Linked DNA regions of Arabidopsis thaliana. The protein of the gene in region 4 binds, or shares a complex with, the protein of the main gene of each other region. Each region holds a gene or a part of one and is shown on either strand. Other genes may lie near its edges. The genes, in order: AT3G10820, AT2G22370, AT5G20170 and AT5G02850.

The links.
Region 1: AT5G02850 (region 4) and AT3G10820 share a complex: the UniProt entries of both Arabidopsis thaliana proteins name them as parts of the mediator complex.
Region 2: AT5G02850 (region 4) and AT2G22370 share a complex: the UniProt entries of both Arabidopsis thaliana proteins name them as parts of the mediator complex.
Region 3: AT5G02850 (region 4) and AT5G20170 share a complex: the UniProt entries of both Arabidopsis thaliana proteins name them as parts of the mediator complex.

The regions. Positions count from the first base shown.
Region 1 is NC_003074.8:3,385,428-3,392,165, reverse strand, and holds AT3G10820 (Transcription elongation factor (TFIIS) family protein), read right to left. Parts: upstream 4,967-6,738; 5' UTR 4,809-4,966; coding exon 4,440-4,808; intron 4,329-4,439; coding exon 4,260-4,328; intron 4,147-4,259; coding exon 4,064-4,146; intron 3,767-4,063; coding exon 3,714-3,766; intron 3,636-3,713; coding exon 3,514-3,635; intron 3,402-3,513; coding exon 3,374-3,401; intron 3,290-3,373; coding exon 3,006-3,289; intron 2,922-3,005; coding exon 2,840-2,921; intron 2,756-2,839; coding exon 2,662-2,755; coding exon of another isoform or gene 2,661-2,661; exon of another isoform or gene 2,538-2,660; coding exon 2,504-2,537; exon of another isoform or gene 2,258-2,503; coding exon 2,190-2,257; intron 2,014-2,189; exon of another isoform or gene 1,930-2,013; coding exon 1,473-1,929; 3' UTR 1,163-1,472; downstream 1-1,162. Other genes in the region: AT3G10840 (alpha/beta-Hydrolases superfamily protein), read left to right, coding at 1-187, 295-393, 490-613, 730-959; AT3G10815 (RING/U-box superfamily protein), read left to right, coding at 6,558-6,738. UniProt on the Arabidopsis thaliana protein: Component of the Mediator complex, a coactivator involved in the regulated transcription of nearly all RNA polymerase II-dependent genes.
Region 2 is NC_003071.7:9,499,823-9,504,406, forward strand, and holds AT2G22370 (mediator of RNA polymerase II transcription subunit), read right to left. Parts: upstream 2,389-4,584; 5' UTR 2,257-2,388; coding exon 2,215-2,256; intron 2,068-2,214; coding exon 1,968-2,067; intron 1,878-1,967; coding exon 1,820-1,877; intron 1,743-1,819; coding exon 1,386-1,742; intron 1,300-1,385; coding exon 1,197-1,299; 3' UTR 962-1,196; downstream 1-961. Other genes in the region: AT2G22360 (DNAJ heat shock family protein), read left to right, coding at 1-637. UniProt on the Arabidopsis thaliana protein: Component of the Mediator complex, a coactivator involved in the regulated transcription of nearly all RNA polymerase II-dependent genes.
Region 3 is NC_003076.8:6,806,213-6,812,642, forward strand, and holds AT5G20170 (RNA polymerase II transcription mediator), read right to left. Parts: upstream 4,708-6,430; 5' UTR 4,518-4,707; coding exon 4,429-4,517; intron 4,341-4,428; coding exon 4,136-4,340; intron 3,976-4,135; coding exon 3,862-3,975; intron 3,658-3,861; coding exon 3,572-3,657; intron 3,081-3,571; coding exon 2,693-3,080; intron 2,611-2,692; coding exon 2,164-2,610; intron 2,055-2,163; coding exon 1,740-2,054; intron 1,660-1,739; coding exon 1,342-1,659; 3' UTR 1,163-1,341; downstream 1-1,162. Other genes in the region: AT5G20165 (kish-A-like protein), read right to left, coding at 5-39, 154-222, 320-426, 516-518; AT5G20180 (Ribosomal protein L36), read left to right, coding at 5,100-5,254, 5,542-5,698. UniProt on the Arabidopsis thaliana protein: Component of the Mediator complex, a coactivator involved in the regulated transcription of nearly all RNA polymerase II-dependent genes.
Region 4 is NC_003076.8:649,838-654,655, reverse strand, and holds AT5G02850 (hydroxyproline-rich glycoprotein family protein), read right to left. Parts: upstream 2,609-4,818; 5' UTR 2,498-2,608; coding exon 1,217-2,497; 3' UTR 893-1,216; downstream 1-892. Other genes in the region: AT5G02860 (Pentatricopeptide repeat (PPR) superfamily protein), read right to left, coding at 1-554; LCL1 (LHY/CCA1-like 1), read right to left, coding at 3,444-3,494, 3,736-3,795, 4,113-4,222, 4,301-4,426, 4,536-4,694, 4,778-4,818. UniProt on the Arabidopsis thaliana protein: Component of the Mediator complex, a coactivator involved in the regulated transcription of nearly all RNA polymerase II-dependent genes.

The DNA.
Region 1 (6,738 bases), on a different chromosome or scaffold from region 4:
AACTGATGCTGGAGAGAACCGTGACAAAGAAGCTCCCACTAGCAACTTTCTAGGGACTCTAGTTGAGTTAACCAAAGGTGTTATAAGAGCAGTATTGAGAGTGGTAACGGGAATGGCGAATATGCTGAGTTCTCTCTACAAGAAAGCTTTAGCAGCTTTCCTCAGATCCTTCCTTGGAGTAATGCTGGTACCGCTTTTTTTTGTCTTGGCTTCATTCACCAGTCATGTCATTTTTTATATGTTGTTAGACCAGAACACTTGATGTGTTTCTAAGGTGGTTGTTTTTTTCACCAGGTGAGGATGGCAATCAATAAATTTGGAGTAACAGCTGTTAGGAACGCGTGGTATGACTCAAAACAAGTGACGGATCATGTCGTGCAGGGTTATACAAAGGTGAGATTTTCGGGTTTTCTCAGGTTTCTTTATTTCTTCTGCATTGTTATGTTAAAAATTTAGGAAATTTGATTGTATTTGTTGCAAAAAAAACAGCCTCTTAAAGCCAAGGGATGGGACAAAGCTCTCGTGGAATTCACGGTGGCTACACTAACAGATAATAATGGCTCAGAGAAAAAACTCCCATTGTCTAAAAGGCTTCAAGAAATCAAATGCCCTGGTAATATCTCTTTCTATAAGATTCTGACAATGAATTAGAAATTGGAACCAAATATTGTGCATTGTATGTCTGAACTCTGAACCAATGACATCATACTATCTTCATGTTTCTAATAGTTCTGATTGTGACGGGAGATACGGACCGTATTGTGCCAGCATGGAACGCAGAGAGGCTGGCACGAGCCATACCGGGATCAGTGTTCGAAGTAATTAAGAAATGTGGTCATCTTCCTCAAGAGGAAAAACCAGATGAATTCATATCTATTGTTGCAAAGTTTCTAGGGAATGCTTTTGGAGGGTCACAACAACAAGACGTGGACTTGAAGTTCCAAGGCATTGTATCATGAAGTATAACTATATATTTTAGCTCAATCAAGACTAAATTTTAGAGAGATTCTTCATGTTATTGGACCTGAAGAAACAAATGTCGACAATATCAAAGACTAGATAGATATAGAATAAAATAACCGAGAGACATTGATTCTTCAACAGATTGATATATAAGCGAGAATAATACACCATGTGGTGCTTCTTGCGAGTGCGGGCAAGTTTTGCAGAGTCCAGTTGATTAGCTTGGAGCTTGAAGCTGGCTTGAAGCTCCAACTCGTCAAGCCAACGCAAAGTTTCTGGAAGAACAAAGTCGGCAACATTTTGAAACTCAAAGCGAGGGGTGCAAAGGACTGTGCAGTCTTCCTCAGCCAAGAGGGCGACATGCTTCTTGTTCGTCAGAGTAGCAGCAGTCTCATCTTCCAGATTCTTCTCATTCGCCTGAGCCATGTACTGCCTGAACTTTTCGAGATAAGCCAAACTAGGGGCGCATCTCATTGCAATAGTAAACATGTAACCAAGAGCATCCACTTTCAGGCGCTTGCACTTGTCCAGTGAATCACAATCTCATGCGGATACTGTGAATCAGTTTCCTTGCATATAGCAACTTGTTGGCGAGCAAGAGACAAGTGAGTAGGATCAAATCGCTGATAGAGGAGGCCACCGGGATGAGTTCGATTGCGGGGAGGAAACTCTCTAGAAACCTTAGAGAGCATATGCATAAAGGTTTTCCCTACGCACCTAACCGTCTCGACGGAAGTCTTATGGATAAGGTCAAACTTAGGGCAAGCCTTGGCCTCGAACCTGACAAAGAGTGATCTCGTAAGGTCCTTGAGAGAAACAGATACGATGGCATCAACAAAATCCTTTTCAGTTAGAAGGACACTCATCTTCTTGAAAATCATCATCTCATCCACCATCTCTGCTTTATCTATCTGCACAAGTACGAGTCCAAAATATACAGGAATATCAATCATCAACTCATCATGTCTACATATGCAGCTAAATTTCAATTCTATGCAATGCAAACAGAGACCATTGTTTTACCAAACCTATGCTCTCACTTATGTTTATCAATAAAGGCCACAAAATTAGGGCTTTTCGATTTCCAATCAAAGACTTTCGGTTGTATCCCCGACGTACAAAATCTAGGCCAGAATTCTTAACAGCTCAACGTTTAACCCATCAGGTTTATCGATAACTAGCACTAGGAAAACAAAATTTACAACAAGGAAAATTGAAGTAGGTACCTTGAGAATTGGGAGGAACTATCACGAGGATTCGCGAGATTGAGGATGAGGGAAGGTAACTCGTAACCCTAGGAATTTATCACTCTGTTATATTTCACCTCATAAGTGATATTAAAAATTACAAAATCTTTGTATAAACAGATTTAAAAAGTTTGCTTGCCTCGCAAGTTAGGTTTAGGGATGGTCAAATACGAGAAGCCCTTTTGTCCTAATAATTTTCTTTTTTATTTTCATAATGAAACATGAAGAAAGTGAAAAAGGGATTTTCCCTTGTCACAATTATGAGGTTCTATTGTCACAAAACCGGACCAAACCGGGAATTCACTGGACCAGAAGTACCAATAAATACTGGGACAAAAGAATAGAGCATCCTAAGAAGTTTATGTTGGATCTGTCAATGCACTTTTGTTGTATATTAACGCCTCTGAATGGTCGTAGTAATTGTATAGATCATCCGAAGGAAAAAATGGACTATCTTCGTGTGGCGGGTCTCTTGAGTTGCGGTTTCTGAACTTTATTTTGCTTTGGGATAGTTTCCAGTACTTGTATCGTCCTCTGTCTCTTAGCTGTTCAAAAACAAATGGGTCATTAAGAATTAGGTGTATTGTAATAGTGGAAATATTGAAATCTCTTAAGACGATTTGACTAACCATTCTCATGTTGGTGGTAGCTCTCTTGGAGTTTCCGCTTTGCAAACTCAAACTTTGAGTCTGGATCCAGAGCTTTGAGTTTCTGAACAAAGACAAGAACACTTGCTATTAGAAACAAAACAGATTAATAATCAAACACCACGGCTTTATTAACTCAAACACTCACATCTTGTTGAGGTCCAGCAAGTTTCCGCTTTTGCTCAGTAACAGCAGTTGGTTTTCGTTGGATTGCGGATACCATTTGTTCTCTACTTTGCTTTGTTTGTCTTTTAGGCTCGACAACATCTGTGGCTGAGTGCTTCATAGGTCTAACATCAGCTTCTTCTCTCCTCGTCTGTTGATCATTGCAGTACCTCCCAACCACATTTGCATCATTTGTTCCCTTGGGTCTCCTCCCCGCACTACTTTGCGATTTTCTTTCATGTTTGGACTCCACACTGTGACGAGGATCTGAAAACAGTGGCCACCATGAGTGTCAAAATATAGGAAAACTTTCAAGTAGAGAACAGAGTACCAAAGAGTATACTAACTCACTTCCATCGCAGTCCAAACAATCTAAGATCTTCAAGTGACCCAAGACATTATGAAACAAGGACGAGGGAGGAAACTTGTCAGGATAACATTTCGTCTATGCCAGAAATAAAATATGATGAGAGGGAAAAATGTTAATAGACCTGAGAAAGTTCAAACCCATTAGGTTCAGGTGCATAGATATCTAAATCATGTGGAGGAGAAGGAAAGGCTTCTTCTTCATCAATTACTGAAAGGTTTAGAGACTCTGGCGTCCCTTCAGTGCCTGCAAGACCCAATTACTATAAATCTAGACCAAAACCTGCTCGCACTGACTACGGAACAGGAGGAGAGAGCTATTTACCAGCCATTTCCTCTGGGGTGTTCATCCACTGGTCCACCAGCCTCTTCCACTCTCTGTGCATCCCATATATAAAAACACAATCTTTATACTCGGGAGCCAGAAAGTAAGGAAGAGTAAAATGTTCTAAGTATTGAGCTAACACAAGAGCAGCTCCCTAATGATCAACCAAGGCTTTTATAATGACATTTTACAATTTGAGACATCCTACAAGGCAACTGGTTTGCATCTAAATCAAACCGTGGAGGTTCAATTTTTTTGGAACATTTTGCCAAAGTTTAATTCACATCACAGATGCGAGAGTATGAGAACAAATGAAACTAAGCACACAATGAGAATGATGAAACTCATACGCGAAAAGAGTCTTTGCAAGTTTGCTAATCTTATCGGAACTATGTCTCCTCAGACCATTAACAGCCTTTCCAATTTCAGTATCCTGCAAGAACGTAAACACTTAAATCACTCCACAGCCTCGAAAAGCTCCATCAGAATAAGCAACTTCCACTACACCAAATCATACAATATCAAAACAACACCAAAAAAACAAACCTTAAGAATGTCCACACTCATAGACATTGACTCAAGCTTTCTCAGAGATTCGAGTAACACAGAATCTTTCTGCAAAAAAGATGACAGAAACCAAAAACTCAACAATCAACACAAAGATTCCAAATTTAACCAATGAATTAGCACAAGTTTTAATGTAATCCAAGCAAAGAGACTAAAAACCTCATCGTCTTTGTTCGACAAGATATCTCTGATCCTCATAACCTCATCAACACTCACAGACGCCTCTTCACCTTCACCCGTCGCAACACCAGAATCACCCCTATCACCGCCGCCGCCAACTCCAACTATCTCCACCGCCGCTTCGTCTCCAGCTATCGAGAGCTCAAGGTGGTCACAACCAATGCAGCGACTCACTTTACAAGAGAAGAGAAGCTCAGCAATTCTATCACTCCTGGATTTAAACTCCTTTGGCCAATCTGCAGCAGCTACCATAATCGCATGATCAATGATACCAAAAATATCAGAATCTCCTCGCCGGAAATACTCTCTCCAAGTATCCAACGAAACAGATGGTCTCATCTTCGCCATCACGAAACGGCGAGGGAAAATCGATTCCGGAATCCGAATTCCTCGATCTGCAAAACCCTAATTAAATTTGAATTTAGGTTTTTGAATACGAATCAATATAGTACTAGTTGTGTAGTTTTTTTTTTTTTTAAGTTTCTCTGCAGGAAATAAAATTCGCCTGAGAATCTGACAAAAGTTTCTGCAGAAAGTCCACAAGAACTTTCCCGAGAAAACTTAAAGAAACAGAGCTTGAGCCAATTAAAAGAGGGCAAGAGAAGAAGACCCTAGAATTTTAAAAAGCCAGAAATTTATGTCGACATTAAAAAACTTAGGTTATAAAAAAAAATGGTAATAGTTTTGATCATTTATCTTGATAACTCATCTGTTTTATTTAAGTAAAATATTGAATTTGTCAATATATATATTAATTCTAAAGATATAGGCTTATGATTAACTGAATGATTATTTAGTTAATAGTAAATTAGTAATAACTAGACTATACATGTGTCGTCCTATATGACATAATGACCCTTGATGAAAAACACGTCACATGGCCTAGCTAGTATAAAGATGGGATATTCGTTTTTTTAAAGTTATGTTATCAACATTACATTCAGAGCATACTGTAATAGTAAATTATTAACACATTACACATGTCCTGATACCAACAATGGGGTACTCATTTTTCAAAGTTATGGATAATTACATTTATCACGTGAATTACTTGAAAGGTAATCTAAATAAACGCGTTTTTGGTGTCGCAATTATGTCGTTTTAAAAAGCATTGTTCATAGTCCCACAGATGTTTAGCACTATTTTTTAATTAGTACTAGTATTAAATTATTATTTTTGTATTTTTTTCATTAAATTTCTCGTTAGTTTCGTGCTTTGACTCTTTTGTTAAGCTTCAGCCACATGTTCCCGTTGTTGAAGCTGTCTTTTGAAGTTTCGTCGTCGATATCATCCTCGACTCTATTTTCAGTTGCGTTAAAGACTTCTCTTCTTCCAAAAGTTTCCTTTTCTTCTATTTTAAATATTCTTTCAGCACTTGGAGATTCACAAGTTTGTCGGATCAATCCATTTTAACTCCGGTAAGCCATACTTGCATGATTCGTTTTGTTTCCACCGATCACATGTTATCGTTTATGCTCCATAGCTTAATCTTTGACTCATTCATGATCTTTTTTTGGTTTAATGTTAAAACCCATGCATGATCTTGTTTCTGCATATTTTTGTTTTGGTTCAGTGTAAAAATTTCTGCATAATTTTGGTTCTACAAAAATAGCTACTATGCAAAAGCAAGATCACGGGGTCAAAGATTAAGCTATGGAGCTTAAACACTACTTGTATTTGACTATTTGTTTCTACGTCATTTGCGTTTGATTTGAATCTAAAGGCCTTTTAATCGATTTCTTGTCATGTGTTTGTAAGGGTTCAGTGTTTTATGTATCTTTCAAATTGTGCTTCTAGTGTATCCATTTTGGATTTGTGAAAGTTGTTTAGGGCTTATATATCTAAAATTGTAAAACCTATTTTAAATTAATATAACAAAACAGTTTCGGACTTTTAACTCATAATATCTCTTCGAATTTAGTTCATTTTCCAACTTTGAAATTCGTTGGCTTGTGATCTTGAAGCCTTGTTCCGTCCGGAATTTATGTTACTTAGTCACCAGTAGAGTTACAAACGATGAGTTATTTTAATCTTTTTTCTAAAAGGTCCTTGACAATGGTTTGACGAGAAAAAATCGTTTTTCCTTTTTGCAGATCCATGACTACGACTAGGCGGAAAAATACACATTGGTGTCATACTTGTAGACGAGGAATCCATCTTCAAGGAGAAGGCAGAAGAGAAGGAGCTTGCATTTACTGTGGTAACACCTTTCTTGAAAGGCTATATGAGAATGTTGAACTAAGCCCTTTTGATTTATTCGGATTAGCCTACGAAGAAG
Region 2 (4,584 bases), on a different chromosome or scaffold from region 4:
TGCAAAACCTGGAACCAAACCGACCAAATGCACCACGTGTGGCGGACAAGGCCAAGTGGTTTCAGCAGCTAGAACTCCTCTGGGCGTGTTCCAACAAGTCATGACTTGCTCGTCCTGTAATGGCACTGGAGAGATCTCGACGCCGTGTGGTACTTGCTCTGGAGACGGACGCGTGAGGAAGACAAAACGGATAAGTCTCAAAGTACCAGCCGGGGTTGATTCAGGTAGCCGGTTGAGAGTGAGAGGAGAAGGCAATGCCGGGAAGAGAGGCGGATCACCAGGCGATCTGTTTGTTGTTATAGAAGTTATCCCAGACCCGATTTTGAAACGAGACGATACAAATATTCTCTACACTTGCAAGATATCGTATATCGATGCGATTTTAGGGACGACACTGAAAGTACCAACAGTGGATGGGACAGTAGATTTGAAAGTTCCAGCTGGGACACAACCTAGCACGACGCTTGTGATGGCGAAAAAAGGAGTTCCGGTATTGAACAAGAGTAATATGAGAGGAGATCAGTTGGTGAGAGTACAAGTGGAGATACCTAAGAGATTGAGCAAAGAGGAGAAAAAACTTATTGAAGAGCTTGCTGATATGAGCAAGAACAAGACTGCTAATAGCACCAGTAGATGATTAGAAACACGAAAATTTTGACATTGAAATTATGAATCTCTCTATACATATACATTTTTCTACTCTGGCTTGTGATATTTAGAATGGCTCTTGAAAAAAGAAGAAGCAAGTGGAGGAAGATGATTATTGTTGTGGAAATGGAAGAATTTTAGAATTCATTTTTTTGTGGTTCAAATTTTTAATATGTTAGGTTTTAATAGGCTTTCAAATTGGAATTTATTAGTGATTGAATGATAAATAAAATAGTATGTAATTCCACAAAGACATTCACATTATTTTAATCATGTTCGAAGCTTCATAAACTATCAATCTACTGACAAGTGACAACAATGAAACATCATAATACCAAAAGGTTGAGAGAAGAGCAAAGATCATATGCAAGTTGTGATTTATAAAGAATATTTATTAAAGATCCCTTACTGATTCTCATTAAATAATACTTAACTCTAATGGTTCACAAGATTTCACAACCATTGTGTAATCTGGAAAATTGACTAGATTGGACCAAAAGATCTAACAAGAGAGAACACAAGAACAGTTGTTTTTAACTTCAAACTTCTTACAATGTAGTACCTCCTCCATCCGACATAAGAGATGCAGCCGCCGCAGCAGCGGTTGGCACAACCCCCGTGGAGATAGACGGTTTCGACAAGTGAACAAGCCTGAAAACACAAGGAATCATATCACTGATGAAGCTTATATCAAAGACACTATCACAGGTGCTGTAAAATATATCAGATGAACTTACGGAGCAAGAAATTCACAGAAAGATGAAACAGCAGCAGCGACTTCACTGTAATTCTCAGAAGTTGCAGGAGCAGTTACATCAACAATCTGCATACCAGGTGTTACAGGAACAGCCTCATCTATAGCATGAACTTTAGGCATCTTATTAACAGAAGATACAGAAACACTTATGTGCGCAGTCCGTTGGAAATGAAAGGCGAATCCGACTTTGAGAAGCTCATGGTCTAGTTTGTAACCGAGTGCATAGAACATACGCAAAGCATTCTTGCTTACTTTACTTTCAATCATATTTCTAACCAAAACAGAGATTTGATCAGCTCCTGCACCTCTCATCGCACCACCAACATGTTTAACCGTCCTATGGTTCTTAAATTAGCTTCCTTTGAATGAAACAAGAACATATACAACAACAACAACAACAAGAAGAAGCTGTACCATGTGGGTTCGGGTTGATCAAGATCACATAATAGCCTAACTTCTGATGACACAACTCCTGAAAAAGTGAAGATTTCACAAATGTGAATCATGTATGATTCATAGGAAGCTTCAAGTTTCTGAATTTAACAAAAGGAATTGGCTTTACCAAGATTTGGGCCGCTTCTTAAGCATAACTCATGAACTCTTAAACGTTCGCGTTGAACACCACAAAGACCTTGAAGAAGAATCTCAAGAGCTTCAACATGCTGCAAAATCCAGTAGAAAATCTAATCAAATTCTAATAAAAATTCAAGCCTAGGGTTTATCAATTGGACATCATAAGAAAGCTAAAAGCTGATCCATGAACTCGAAAAACTTGGGATTTGTTCGTCAATCAAAAAATACAAACGAACCTGTGTCTCGATGATTCCTTGAACCACACACTCCATTGACATTGAGCTATCACAAAATCTCTCAATTAAAATCGTAAATATATTCTCAACAAGACCAAATCCGAAATTGGAAAAACTAACGAAAGCTTCCTAAATCGTCCTCGGGAGCGAATCTGAGATTTTTTAACACCGGAGAATTTTAGCTAGTTACTAGAATCACTTGTGTAGTTGTTATATAGTAGTTAGCTGTAGATAAAGCAAGATGGCCTATTAGCTCAGTTGGTTAGAGCGTCGTGCTAATAACGCGAAGGTCACAGGTTCGATCCCTGTATAGGCCATTTCGTTTTTTCTTGTTGCCCCTTTTTTGGGAACTCGATCATAATAAAAACTCTAGTGCATCTCGGTCATTGATTAGTGATCACCAAATAGCCCATTAGCTTAGTTGGCCGCATGATGAGAACATAACCACCGGTTAACCGGAGTAAACCGTCATTAGTTAGGTTGAAGATAGAATTTAGTTTGTGCTATCTTTGCTAAAAAGTTCATGAACCCTAACCTAATTAGTTGGCATTTTAAGAAGTCAACTAGTTTCGATAAAGTTTATGAACATAGCAAATGATATTTATATATGGTTATTTCATCTTGGTTGTGATTACTGTAAATGTCTACTAAGTAGAATGTGTTAATTCCTTATAATTGTTGACAAGAAATATGTAGAAAATTTTGTCAAAATTATTGCGATGTTGTGTAGATTAAGTGGCCACTACATCACCACAATCCTTTAAATTATTAGATAAAAAGTTCAAAAATAAGTCAAATAACCATGTTTACGAAAAGTTTGGAGGAGAATAGGAAAAATGTAAATATATTTATTTTAGCCTCAAACAATTCTTCTCTATTTCAATAGACGAATGAATCCTCAATTTTGCATTAACTAAACCATTTTAGTTTCTTCATTCGTCAATAATATCCTCAAGTGTGTAATCATGTTAATGCTCGTCTAATATACCGGTAACTCAAACCGGCCTCATTTTAACCTACCTCACCAAATTTGTAGAGGTAGCATAATACACGGGCCAAGTTGAATATCCAAGTTGATATTTATGCTTATAATGCATCATTTATGAATTGCCAATTGTCAAATGCCAAGCATGCTTTTGTGGGAAGGCTTATGAATTGTTTACAATGATACAAGATGCAAATGTAAAACCAAATATCATCAGGATATATTAATACAAGAGTCTATGGACTTGTTTCAGAGGATGAAAAATATAAAAACAAAAAGGTGTTCAACAAAAATAGGTCAAGCTTTGGGTTGTATCCAAGTTTATGTATTAGTGATCCGAGCAAGAGAACCTATCAATGCGATACACGTGTAGCAATCATTAATCAAATCCACGTATGACGACTTTGACTACCATACACTCTAGTACTCTCTACCGTAGAGGATTACATTTTAACCCTACGATTAGTTTAATCTCTCAGTCCACCGGAGAGTGTAAAAACAGCGAGAAAATCGACGTCGTTCGATCGCCGACTGCGAGCGAAGAAGAAGATGGCTGAAGAAGAGGTTGACTACGTATTCAAGGTTGTTTTGAACGGAGATTCAGCGGTTGGGAAGTCACAGCTACGAGCTCGGTTCACAAGAGACGAATTCAGTATGGATTCCAAAGCCACAATTCGGTGTCGATTTCAATACTCGAACGCTCGTTATTGACGATAAGAACATCAAAGCTCAGATCTGGGACATCGCAGGCCAGAAACGGTACTATATCCTTCTCCGATCTTAGTTCTATCTTCTCTGATTTAACAATGGATAAAATATTGCTTCGAACTCGATGATGTTACAGTGTTGCTGTTCAATTTCGATTTTGATCTTCGTGTGTACCTGAGAGTGACCTCATTTTGACTAGAGAGTAATCGACTCTTTTAGAAGTTGGACCATTAGTGTTGGAATTGTTCGATTTTGTTCTTCGGCAACATTGTAATGTGTTGTTATAGCATTCTCCTGAAGAATCAAATTATGTAGTGATGATCACATTCACATCCAAGTGGCTAATCATTGTGCATGGCATGTTTTCTCCATTGTACATAGCAATGTGGTTGGTTTGATTAGTGACATTCTTGTTCTTTTGCTGTGAGTAGACACAGAGCTATTACATAAGCCTACTACAAAGGTGCTGTTGGTGCAATGTTAGTTTACGATATGACAATACGTGAAAGCTTTGAGCACATTCCTCAGTGGTTGGAAGAACTACGAGTGCACGCGGATAAGAACATTGTCATCATCTTGATTGGTAACAAGACGGATTTAGAGAACCAGAGATCGGTTCCTGTGGAAGATGCCAAGGAATTTGCAGAGAAGGAAGGGCTTTTTTTCCTTGAGACTTC
Region 3 (6,430 bases), 6.2 Mb from region 4:
CTACCTATTCTAGCAGCCTTCCAGAAAAATCCTCGAAACCTGCAATAGTAATTAATCAAGCAATTTCTATCATTAATATGCATAGAACAAAGTGATGACTGAGGGCATTAGATGCAAGCTATAAATACAAAAAAAGCACTAGGATGAAGTAACATTTGCAATCTAAAGTAACAATATGCAGAGAAATCTGACAAAGCATCTTTAATTTGGCAAAAGACAATGCTTGAAAACAATAACCGGTGTCAAAGCTCCAAATGTGTTAGTGTTATCGGTTTTGAGAATAAAATTCACGAAAAAGGAGAACAAAGAAGGTACAAACCCAGTTTTCTGCTCTAAAATGGCAGGGAACTGCATCTTCAGATATGTGCATGTGCAGATCACAAGCAGCACCACCGTCAGAAACGAATGGAAATTGAACAAAGCTGACTGAATTTATCAAAGATAAACAAAACTCTTAGCTCAAAATCACTGAAATTAACAAAATTTAACAATGGAACAGAGAAGGCAATAACTACCATTGTATCGGATCACTGAAGCACTTGAGAAGCTAATAATTGTTTCCTTGAATCTGAAATAACCAGAAGAAAAAAAACAATAATGGGAATCACATGAGAATCGATTCGAAGACACAGACATGCCCAAGAAGAATCATAACTAAACACATGAAAAACTGAGCAAGTACAATTATCGTCAAAACCTAACAATTTATCACTACCGAGATTTGTAGAAGAATAATCAAGGGAATATGTTCATCTATTCGTCACTAATAAATCAGATTTACTATATATAGAAGCATCTGTGAATTTCATAATTATCAGATCATATAGTGAATCCAACTCCATAACGGTGACTCTCTCTCGAGAGAGCAGCAAATCAGAAAATTGAGAAATATCGATCGGTGGATGGGATGATACAAAAAAAGGGAACAGCAAACCTGAAGTTGAGCTGAAATCGATGCTAATGGCTAGAGAAATTAGGGTTTTGAAGCTTGAATCTTAGCAAAACAGATCAGCGAGACGTCAAGAGAGGGATCGAGAGACGGAGGAGAGAAACGTTCGCGTCAGAGTTATTCTCGTTTTCTCTACATATTTCCAATTCTACCCCTTTCTTCCTTTAAGTACTAAAGTCATTATGATTTCAAAGATTTTTTAAAAAAGAAAAATTGATAATATTATTTGAAATAAAGATGTTTTATAATAATCATCAATCCTTAATCCATAAAATCCACATTTCCAACTATTCAAAAAAGTGATGTTTGGGCTAGACACTAGAGTCTCACTAAACCATTGTAATCTACAAATCTTGAAGAACTAAACATGTTCACTACTTGTCTTTCAGCATTTACAATCTCTCTAAAGCATTGCGACCAGTACCACACAAGTTGATCAAATCCATGAGAACAGAGTACAAGACATCCAGAGACAAATGACCCAACAACTTCCTACTCTCCGACACTCCTTCCCTCTCCTCTGTGCATCCATTCTCCATCACTAGCCACCACGAGATGCATCCTTTTGCGTCTTCCGGGTTTACATGCGCCACCAGGCTCACTCTCTCCCCTTCCACTATCTCTAACGATAGTGACAGAAATTCCCTGCTCGCTTTTGTCCCTACCGTCCGTGCTTCCTCCAGTAGCCAACACACTATCTGGCTCGCCACCTTCTCAAATAAATAAACCGCGTGTTTAAGGGACCGTGTTGCTATAGACATGATCAACTTTAGGAAACGAAAGAACATACCTGTTGGAGAATCATCACGGGAAGGTCGGCCACGTCGCACTCGTATTTGTTTATAGAGAATAGATTGCAGGAACTGCTTTTGAGTAAGCCAACCACATTGGGCGTGCATTCCGCTTCAACACTAATACAATCATCCTTCACCACCACTTTTGTCCGGAACTGCGTCTTAAGATTCCTCTTACCATCAGGAGACTGGGTTTCAGACCTTCCTTGGGGGATGATTGATGGAGGAACAGTCATGAAGACAGTCCATGACGATGTCCGAGAATTCCATGTAGGATGAGATATCAGATGAAGATACGGGACCTTGCAGACCTGTTCAATGAGGAAGTAACCATTTTTTTTAAAGCATGATCAAAGATGACAACAAGTTTCTTGATAGAGAAGGATCATTCAATAAAGTTTAGCACATCAGGGAAAATACCACGCTTTCAAGATGCACAAGAACTCTATTTGAGAAGATTCTATGAGTCAAAGATAAGCAGAAATGGTCAAGAAGTCCGGAGTTGCTGTCCTTTTCTGTTTGATTGGATGCTCTGATACTTTTTGACTTGAGCTGATCTTTAGCTTTTCCAAAGGCATGCTCGTGAAAAATTTGTTGCAAGTATATTTCATAGCTGGTGCGATTAGGGAACCCTAGCTTCTTCAAGCGATAGTCTCCTCCTTCTGCTGGTTCTACTCTGCCAGATGATTCAATGAGCAAGGTTGCAGATTCCGACTTCTTGATGCTGGGATTTTTGCCTGATGGGTGGAGAGACACAAACAGAGAAGCTCCTTGGCCGATGCTCATTTCCATAAAATTTTCTCGTAGTCCACTTATGTTGAATCCCACACCTTCATTGAATGCTTCACGATTTAGCATGTCAAACAACTGGTAAGAAGACCAAAGAAGTGAGAAATAGTCGTGAAGAGATATACCAAGCGTACTACAAGATATATGACAAAAATACCACCTGCTCAGCAAAAATTGATTTATGCACCTCCCTCAGTAGCGAATGAGTTTCTTTAACATATTTGTCGTCACTTGCAGACAACTTCTCTGATGTTCCAGGGATATCGTGACCAGTAGTCGAGTCTATGTGCTCATCAGATTCGTTTGAGTTGCCAATCGGATTTAAGCCAACATACCCAAACCGAAGAGAGTACCATGAATCTTGGGGTACATTAATGGCCAGCATACCAGCTGAATCATGATCTACACGAATAGTGGACAGTGTAGATGGGCGAAAACCAGAAGTCGGATCATATAATGAACTGTCAGAAAGATCAATGGTGAAGCCCTCATTGCTGGCATTTGAAGCAAGCATGCGTTGTCGCTTGACTTTCCAGTTCCGCTGCAACCTATAAGCTTGTTAGTATAGCAAAAATAACCATTTGCACGTATAAATCAATCTCTATTTTGGAAGCTGAAGTCAGCTTATCATTTTATACAAATTATGAGCAATTTCAACGGAAATTCTCTAATTTGTGTTGGCATAATCTTAAGCAGTCACTACACAACAAAATGGATGTTCCTGAAGTACTGTACTATGCAGGTTCAGTAACAGAGACGGTGTAGAAGTCAAAATTTAGAACTTTTTCACATTAGACAAGAATAATAAAATGCTTTCACGTTTATCAGTCATAAGTCATAACATATTACAAAACCTACGTGCGTAATAACTCTACATCCAAAATTCGGACGCTAATTATCTGTGCACAACACAAATAGCTATGACATTGTAAGCTACCTAAAACTAGTATCAAGAATGCAAACAACAAATTCTTAAAAGTTGCAAAATAGTACTAAGGAAAATAGCCACTGACATTAAATGAAAAGCAAGTACTCGAACCTGATAAGAGCACCATAAAACCTTGCTTCACGATTGATTTTCTGCTCTAAAGCTTTTGCTGATTGTTTAAAGTAGTTTCCTAAATTCTGCAGAGGAAACAGATATTCAGAAGTGAGATAAGCATACCATCCAAAGACAATTATATAGTTAAAAAGCTCTTTACGAAACCAAGTTAATGTTTCCAACAGTTTCTCAGGATACTAAAAAGTGCCTAACTAATAACAATTACAAGAATCCTTCCATCTTTAAGCAAAGTTAAATTGCACATAAGAAAGTAAGCTACTGATTACCCGGTAGCCCTGCAGCTTGGTAGCAGTAGACACAGCAAGATCCGAGAGAATCTCATTCGGCATCGGCTTAGGTCTGGTCATCCCAGCAACTGTTACTGCATCATTTGCTTGGACCTTCAAAGATAAAATCAGAAGATAAATTGTTTAAGTTTTACTCTCTATTCAAATATCAGAAACCAAACTTCAGCTCCTTCCATTCAAACCAATAAAACAGACACTGTAAGAGCTATGAATATCCCAAAATTCTTATCTATTATCAACAAGAGTCACTCACTGTGTCGATAAGGTCAATGATGACAGTGAGCTCCTGATGAGCCAATTGCAAATTCTCAACCATTCCCTTCCATTTCCATTGCTCCACGCTATCCTTGGAGCTTTTCTTCTGCTTCTTCTTCTTCAGCTCATCTTCCTCTTCCAACGCCCACGCGAAGTCTATTCTCCGAATCAGCGATACTCTCTTATCATCGTAATCAACATCACTACACGTCAAAAACAAAAGGAATAATTTAGAAGCAAAACAATCTGGGAAGATTTTGTCTCGTTTCTCAAACACCAGACAACACTTACGAAGGAAAACGCTCGGCGCCATTTTCTTCGATAGATTCCAATCGTTTAATGGGAAGCCTGTCGAGAGAGATTTCCATGTCGCTATCCATATCGTACAGAAAAAAATCTTCCCGGTCAAAAATTCAGATTTTCTAGGTCGACGGTAACACAGTCCGGCCAAATCGCTTCAACGCTCCAAATCGGATATTTAGATCTAATAATCCGGGTCAAAAAAATTCCGGATCATTTTTACGGGTAAAGCCCATTAAAAGCCCAAAATATGTTGTACTCTGACTGTGCAAAACTCCTCCGTAAAACCCTTTCATTTGCATTTGGGAATCGATTGCTCTTCTTCGTAGTCGCCTTTGAATTCGCAGGTATTTTTTTGTTCTTCGCTTGATGGGTTCTCGTTGATTATCACTCGATTTCGTATCTGGATCTATTATAGGGTTTTCTCTTGTGTGATTCCGTGTAGTTAGAGATGGATGCTTCAGATTCGTTTTACTTTTGCTTCCATCATCGGATCAACTAAGGATTGCAGTTTTTCTGGTAGATTAAGTAGAAATGATATGTTTAGAGGATACAATCCTTAGTTTTGAATCTTAAAGTTGAATACTTTGAAGAGTTCTCTTTCATTTTCATCTAATGAGTTTTGTGTTAATGATCGGTTGTGAATTGCAGAGTGAGAAGCAATGAAGGTGAGATCATCTGTGAAGAAGATGTGTGAGTTTTGTAAAACAGTGAAACGTCGTGGACGTGTGTATGTTATATGCTCTTCCAATCCTAAGCACAAGCAAAGACAAGGGTTCAGTTCCTTTGCTTATGAAGGAATTACACCTTCCCCTTTGTAAGTGAATCTTGTATCTGGTTTTCGCTTTTGAGTAATTAGGTGTCTCATTCGGATTTTGGACGGGTTAAATACAGTGTATATTGACTACTGTGAATCACTTACTACCCAAATTTTGTCCTATAGAATCATTGAATGAAAAGTGAGGATCTATTTAGAGTCTGTTGAACAGTTACTAAAATACATTATAGTGGAACATCACACAGAAGCATGAAGCATGTGCACTTGTTTTCCTTCGCAGAGTTGAGAGTAACTTACTTAAAAAGTTATTTGGGATTGTAAAACAGGTTTGCTGAGCCGATTGCTAGTCAGGAGTTGGTGAGGCTGCCTGGTCAGGGGGTATCAGCCGGACTGGCATCACTTTTACACAAAAGGCCTATGCCAACAGCGTATTTCGGATGGAGGTCTGGTCTTGCATCCATTCTCTTCAAACAAGGAAATTAGGATGTCAGCATTTCCCTTTTTATTCTTCAGATTTGTAATCGCAGTTTTCTTCCAATTCCTATGAAACATTATTGTATATCTCTCCACTTTTACTTTGGTCAGTCGTATGCTCCTTCGAGACCTGTTTGATTGTGCCTCGCATGACCTGAACAAAGAGATATATTATGACACTCGAGTATTTGTTTTTACATTTTCCACTGGAGCATATGTTAGGGATCAATATGTTTTTCTTTTAGAAAACTCTGGTTAGTGATATCCACATCGATTACATGCCAAGGAAATGAGCAAATTGTGGTTGAATTTGTATTGACCGCGTACCAAGTAGTTTGAAATATGTTGTGGCTCATTTGCGCATGTTTATAGTCAAATTTCACTATTCCAAAATGAGGCTGCACAAAGCACACCCACTAAATGCGAATCAAATACAATGAAACTGGAGAGACGGAGACTTCTCAACGACAACGACCCTTCTCTTTCTCCACCGTTGAGCACTCGGCTCGTAGGTCCTACGTGGTGGTGTGAGAGGTCACAGGAAGCCCACTCTGATAGGCATATCCCATGGGCCCCGCTTCTGGACAGTACTACTTTTGGACATAACAAGCCTTCTTTATTACTTTTTGTTGTAGTTTTCCCTCAGTCAAATCGTTAACAGCTTCATTCCAAAAAAATCACCTCACCAATAATTGTCATACTCTTTCGTAATTTCCATTTTTGAGCTGCAATTTTAACCAA
Region 4 (4,818 bases):
TTACCTAGCATACTGATGATTATAGCAACAACAGAGTTATCCAACATGGATTGATAATCCTTTTGCTTCATAAACCAATCAAAAGCACGCAGAGCCAAATCGAATTTCTTATGAAATCCTAATCCTTTAAGAAAAGCTAGTAACTCCGACGAGGTAGACTCTGGTTTATCCTTAAAAGGCTCGAATAGCTCAGAGAGTACAGAATCTAATTGACCGGAATCAAAATTGGGTTCGATGAGGGAACGAAGAACTTGCTGACCTTGTGGAGAAAGACCATGGTAAGACCAAGGTTTACCGAGGTTAGGGTCACGTGACTTGCCAATTCGAGTCCGGTTACGGTTTCTAGATGTTTGAGAGCTGATGGGTTGTCTGGAATTAGGGTTCTGGTGAAGGAAAACATCGTGGAGGAGAGGCTCTACAGGCGGAGGAGGTGGTGACGAAAGAGACGTAGTAAGAAAAGGCGTCCGAGAGATATGGTGGTTTTGGTCGTGAGAATAAGGTTTAGAGGAAGGAGTGCAGGGAAGGAGAAGAGGAAGAGCTAGCTTGTCCGCCATTAGAGGTAGTAGTAGTAGTAGAAACTAGAAAAGAACCAGGAGGCAACCGAGAGTGAAAGAAGAAGAGAAATGAATGGATATTTTTGTCAGATTTTTTTTATTATATTTTTTTGTTCCAAGAACACAATTTTAGTTTTATTTCCCTACAATTATATTCGACCACGTGGCTAGTCCAGATTCAACAGGTTAGATCTAAATGGGCTACTACTTATTTTGTCAACCCATTATATTATTAGAAGCCCAAATGGAACAATAAACTGTACAATAAAGAAATGGGCAGAAAGAGCCTCTGATATGTATGTATGACCTAAGAGGGATTTTACTTTGTCGTATAGAGAGATCGATCCAAAATGTCAAGTTGCATAACTCCAATAGTTGAACATTCTGAATTTTACTAATAATTTGAAATTTGAAGCTAAAGAATGATTCTGGAAAAAAGATAACCAATAATTCTGTAAACTGAATTAGAATCCAGGGTTTTCGTAAGAAACAACTTTGATACATCAAAGATACTGATAACGATGAAGCATATACTAACATCTATCCACATAAAGGCACTGCTAAACAAAACGAAACCAAGTAGAAAATCAAACTTGATCAAGAATTAGCAGTAACATTGGTCAAATCATTACCTTACAGAGAACCATCAATCACAATGTTGATTAATCCTCATCATCTGAGCTTGCATCATCGCTGCTGTAATCACTGCTATCATCATCCTCCAAAATGTCAAGTTGAACAGCTCGGACCTGTATGACATCAGGCGGTCTGTGGAGTCCCTGAGAAGGTCTCATATGTTGATGATCCTCTGCTCTAGGTGCAGCAATTGACTCCAGTGGCGGTAACACAACTGGGTCGCCTGGTTTCCATCCAGGAGGTGGCAATGGTAAATCTCTAGGCAATTCGACTGGCATTCCTGGTTTCCATCCTGAAGGAACTGCGATATTCGGCGGAAGCAGGTTGTGAATAGCAGATATATCCATAGCTTCTGGTGGTGGTGGTGGCTCAATCAGTGCTTCAACCTTCTTCTCCATGTTTTCTACTGTTTTCGGCAGACCGATATCAAGATCAGCGAAAGTGTAGAGCTGGGAAGCTCTCATTTGTTCGTCTTGTGGAGCTGGTGGTAATGCACCACGGAGAGGTGCTTGCCCTGCACCGAATTCCGGCGGAGCAAATGTGGTGTAGCTAATCTTGTGAGCGTAAGCTAATATGTCCTTTAACTTGAGCTGAGACGAAACTGTGGTTGAAGAAGAAGAAGACTCATTATCATTGTCTTCGTCATCTTCTTCAATTTTGCTTCGTTTTGGTTTGCGGTAATCGGAGTAGTCGTCAACAAGCATATCGAGAACACGTTCTGCATCCTTGAGTTTGTTAGCGAAAGCGAGAAGAGATGAATCTTTGGATTTGATCTCACGCGCCACCTTCTGCTTCGCGTCTTGCAGATCGAGGATCTCTTGAAGCTCTGTAACGGCTTCGAAGAGCTGAGTCTGGAGGGAATTGAATTGAGAGAGGATCTCCTTCGTGGATGAAGGACTAGGGTTTTCAAGCGGCGGCGGAGGTGGTAACGAGTGTGAGGAGAGGAACGAAGGGAGAGAGCCACGGAAAGCTGAGAGCCAGATAGCTCGATTGGGAGAGACGTCGAAGAGCTTAGATGTCAAAACCGCCATCTGCTGGAGAAGAGCTTGAGCTCGCGGTAATGGAGGAAGGAGCGATAGCAAGGCGGAGGATGAAACAGCCGCCGAAGCTGAGGCTGAGGAAGCGGCGGCGACGGTGGAGGAAGGAAGTAGATTAGGCTGTTGTTGGATCTGTTGGTGCTGAGATTGGGAAGATGAAGAAGAGGTTGGATGGCCATGACGAGTAGGCGTCGGATTTTGTACGGAAGGAGAGCCAGGACCTGTTAACCCTAATCTCGCCGGAGATTGTACGATCTGATGCTGTAGCATCTTCGCCGACGGCGAAAGAATCTCTTAAATCGAAGATAATTAAAGAGACGAAGCTTCTCTTCTCTGTTTAGTGTTCAACTGTTTATACAAAATTCGCAAACCCTCAGTATCAATTAGAAAAGTCTAAAGACCCGCTAAAACCATACCGATACGGTTCAATTTCCTAATTACCATTAACCTGGCTTTCGAACAATTGTTATTGACAATAACAGAGACGAATCATGGACGTTAACGCTTGATACAAGTGCAATACAACAGAGTTATGTATCTCACTTCCGAGTTAAGTAACAATTTGCTACTGTGTTACATAGCTTTTGGTTAAACAGATAACCAGAAAATAACCAATCAGAGAACGAGGTAAAGAAACTTACATATTACAAAAGGCATGAAAAAATAATTATCAAAAAGAAGATACAATTGGTAACCATTTTCTACACACACATACATATATCTACCATTCACACGACTGGTTCTGACCGAAACTGCATATGTTCCTCTTGTTTGTGACGACGACTCAGTTATGTTCTCCTCAGACAACAACCGTAGAATGCATCTGACACAATCCACCATATACAGAGATCAATAGCAATTTGGTAGACCGTAAGAGCAATATTCTTAAGACCTTAAGGGTAGTGTAATCAGAATAATAGCAGCAACGCTGAGAATATAACAGTTATGATCTACAGATCATTCTTATTATGACGTTCGATCATGTGAGACAATAACTACAGTAACAAATGAGAAACATTAAGGTGAAAACCTTAGTGAACTGTGGTGTTAGGTTTCGATATAATCTATTAAGTCAATGCGAACGTTCTTATTATAGTGTTTTATATTGGTGTCGGAGGGATGCGGTATAACACCAAACTTACTTGATAGCTGGTAGAGAGTTGTTGCGAGCAAGAAGTCGTCAAGAAGATATATAACTTGTTGAGTGCACAAACAGCTAAGAGCTTAAGTGTTCATGACCTTCCTCTGCAGCATCAACATATTCAGACTAAATTATGGTTAGATTATATCTCATAGAGCACAACAATCCTCATTTAATCATTGGAACGGTTAAAAACATAACACACTAAAGGCGAACTAGTCTTAATTTCTATAGTTAAACTTCAAGGCAGATAGTAAGTAGGTTTGTTAGCTGTTAGAGACTTTTTCTCACTCATTCTTATCACGAAAAGACAAATGTGCCTCACATACTCAACGAGCACAGAAGTAATGATAAAATTATAACTTACAGTAGGTTCAAAGTCAGGGTTTGACAAGTTCACTGTGAGGTTTCTCATCAACAGCAAAACCTGCAAGAAAAACTGTGATTAGTGACGGATACTAGGAAAAAGAACAATCACTGACAGCTACAAATAGGTACCATGACACCTAAAACTGACTCATGGTTGTAACAATCCCATTATTTGACCAACATCTCCATAGAATCATGGTACTTTGGCTTTTTGGTGTTTCCAACTCGTGAATCTATATATTGCAAGTACTGATCTTTATATTTATCTTCTCACACAGCTGAATTTATTCGGGAACTCAAAGAAGAAGACTAAATGATTGATATGCTGCAACACACATATCAGTTAATCTAAAGGCAAGTAAAGCTCCAACTCACAGTTTCGAAATTTATAGGATCCATTTCCTTGAGCTTTTTCATGCGGCCTTTGCTGTCAGGATCGAACACACTCCCAATGAAGTTATAAACCTCAGCAAAATCAGGAAGACCTGCAAAGCAACCATTACAACAGCGTCCACCACAAAATGAAAACTAAGAAATAGTCCCTCAATTGTTCAGATAATTACCATGCATTGAGGGAGCTTGTTTCGCCAGTCTCAAACCCTTAGAATCTGATAGTGTTCTGCTTGAGCTTCCGATACCAGATGCTGAAGGACTAGTTTCACTTATCATGTCATTTGATCCAACATCAACTGAAACAATGATATGTAAGCCGCATTTAGCATATGAAAACTTCAGAAGATAGAGTGACTAGACTACCAAAGCAAAATATAAAAACTGAGTACAGATGAGAACGCATGCCTTCTGCTCCACAAAGAGTATCAAGTTCATCTTCTGGTGGAATAACCCCACTTACAGCAATGTTTAACAATGCAGATGTATCATCATCCCATGGAGTATATCCAGGCAGGTTATTTATTTGAGTAGGAAAGGACATGGAAACGTGAAGCGACATTTGAGCTGCAGATTTGAGTTGAAATCAGATTGATTACATGTTACTCCATCTGTCAACCCAAAGTAATATCTATTACAATAGAACTAACCATTTTTCGATGCCTTTTGAGGATATGGATGAGCAGCTTTG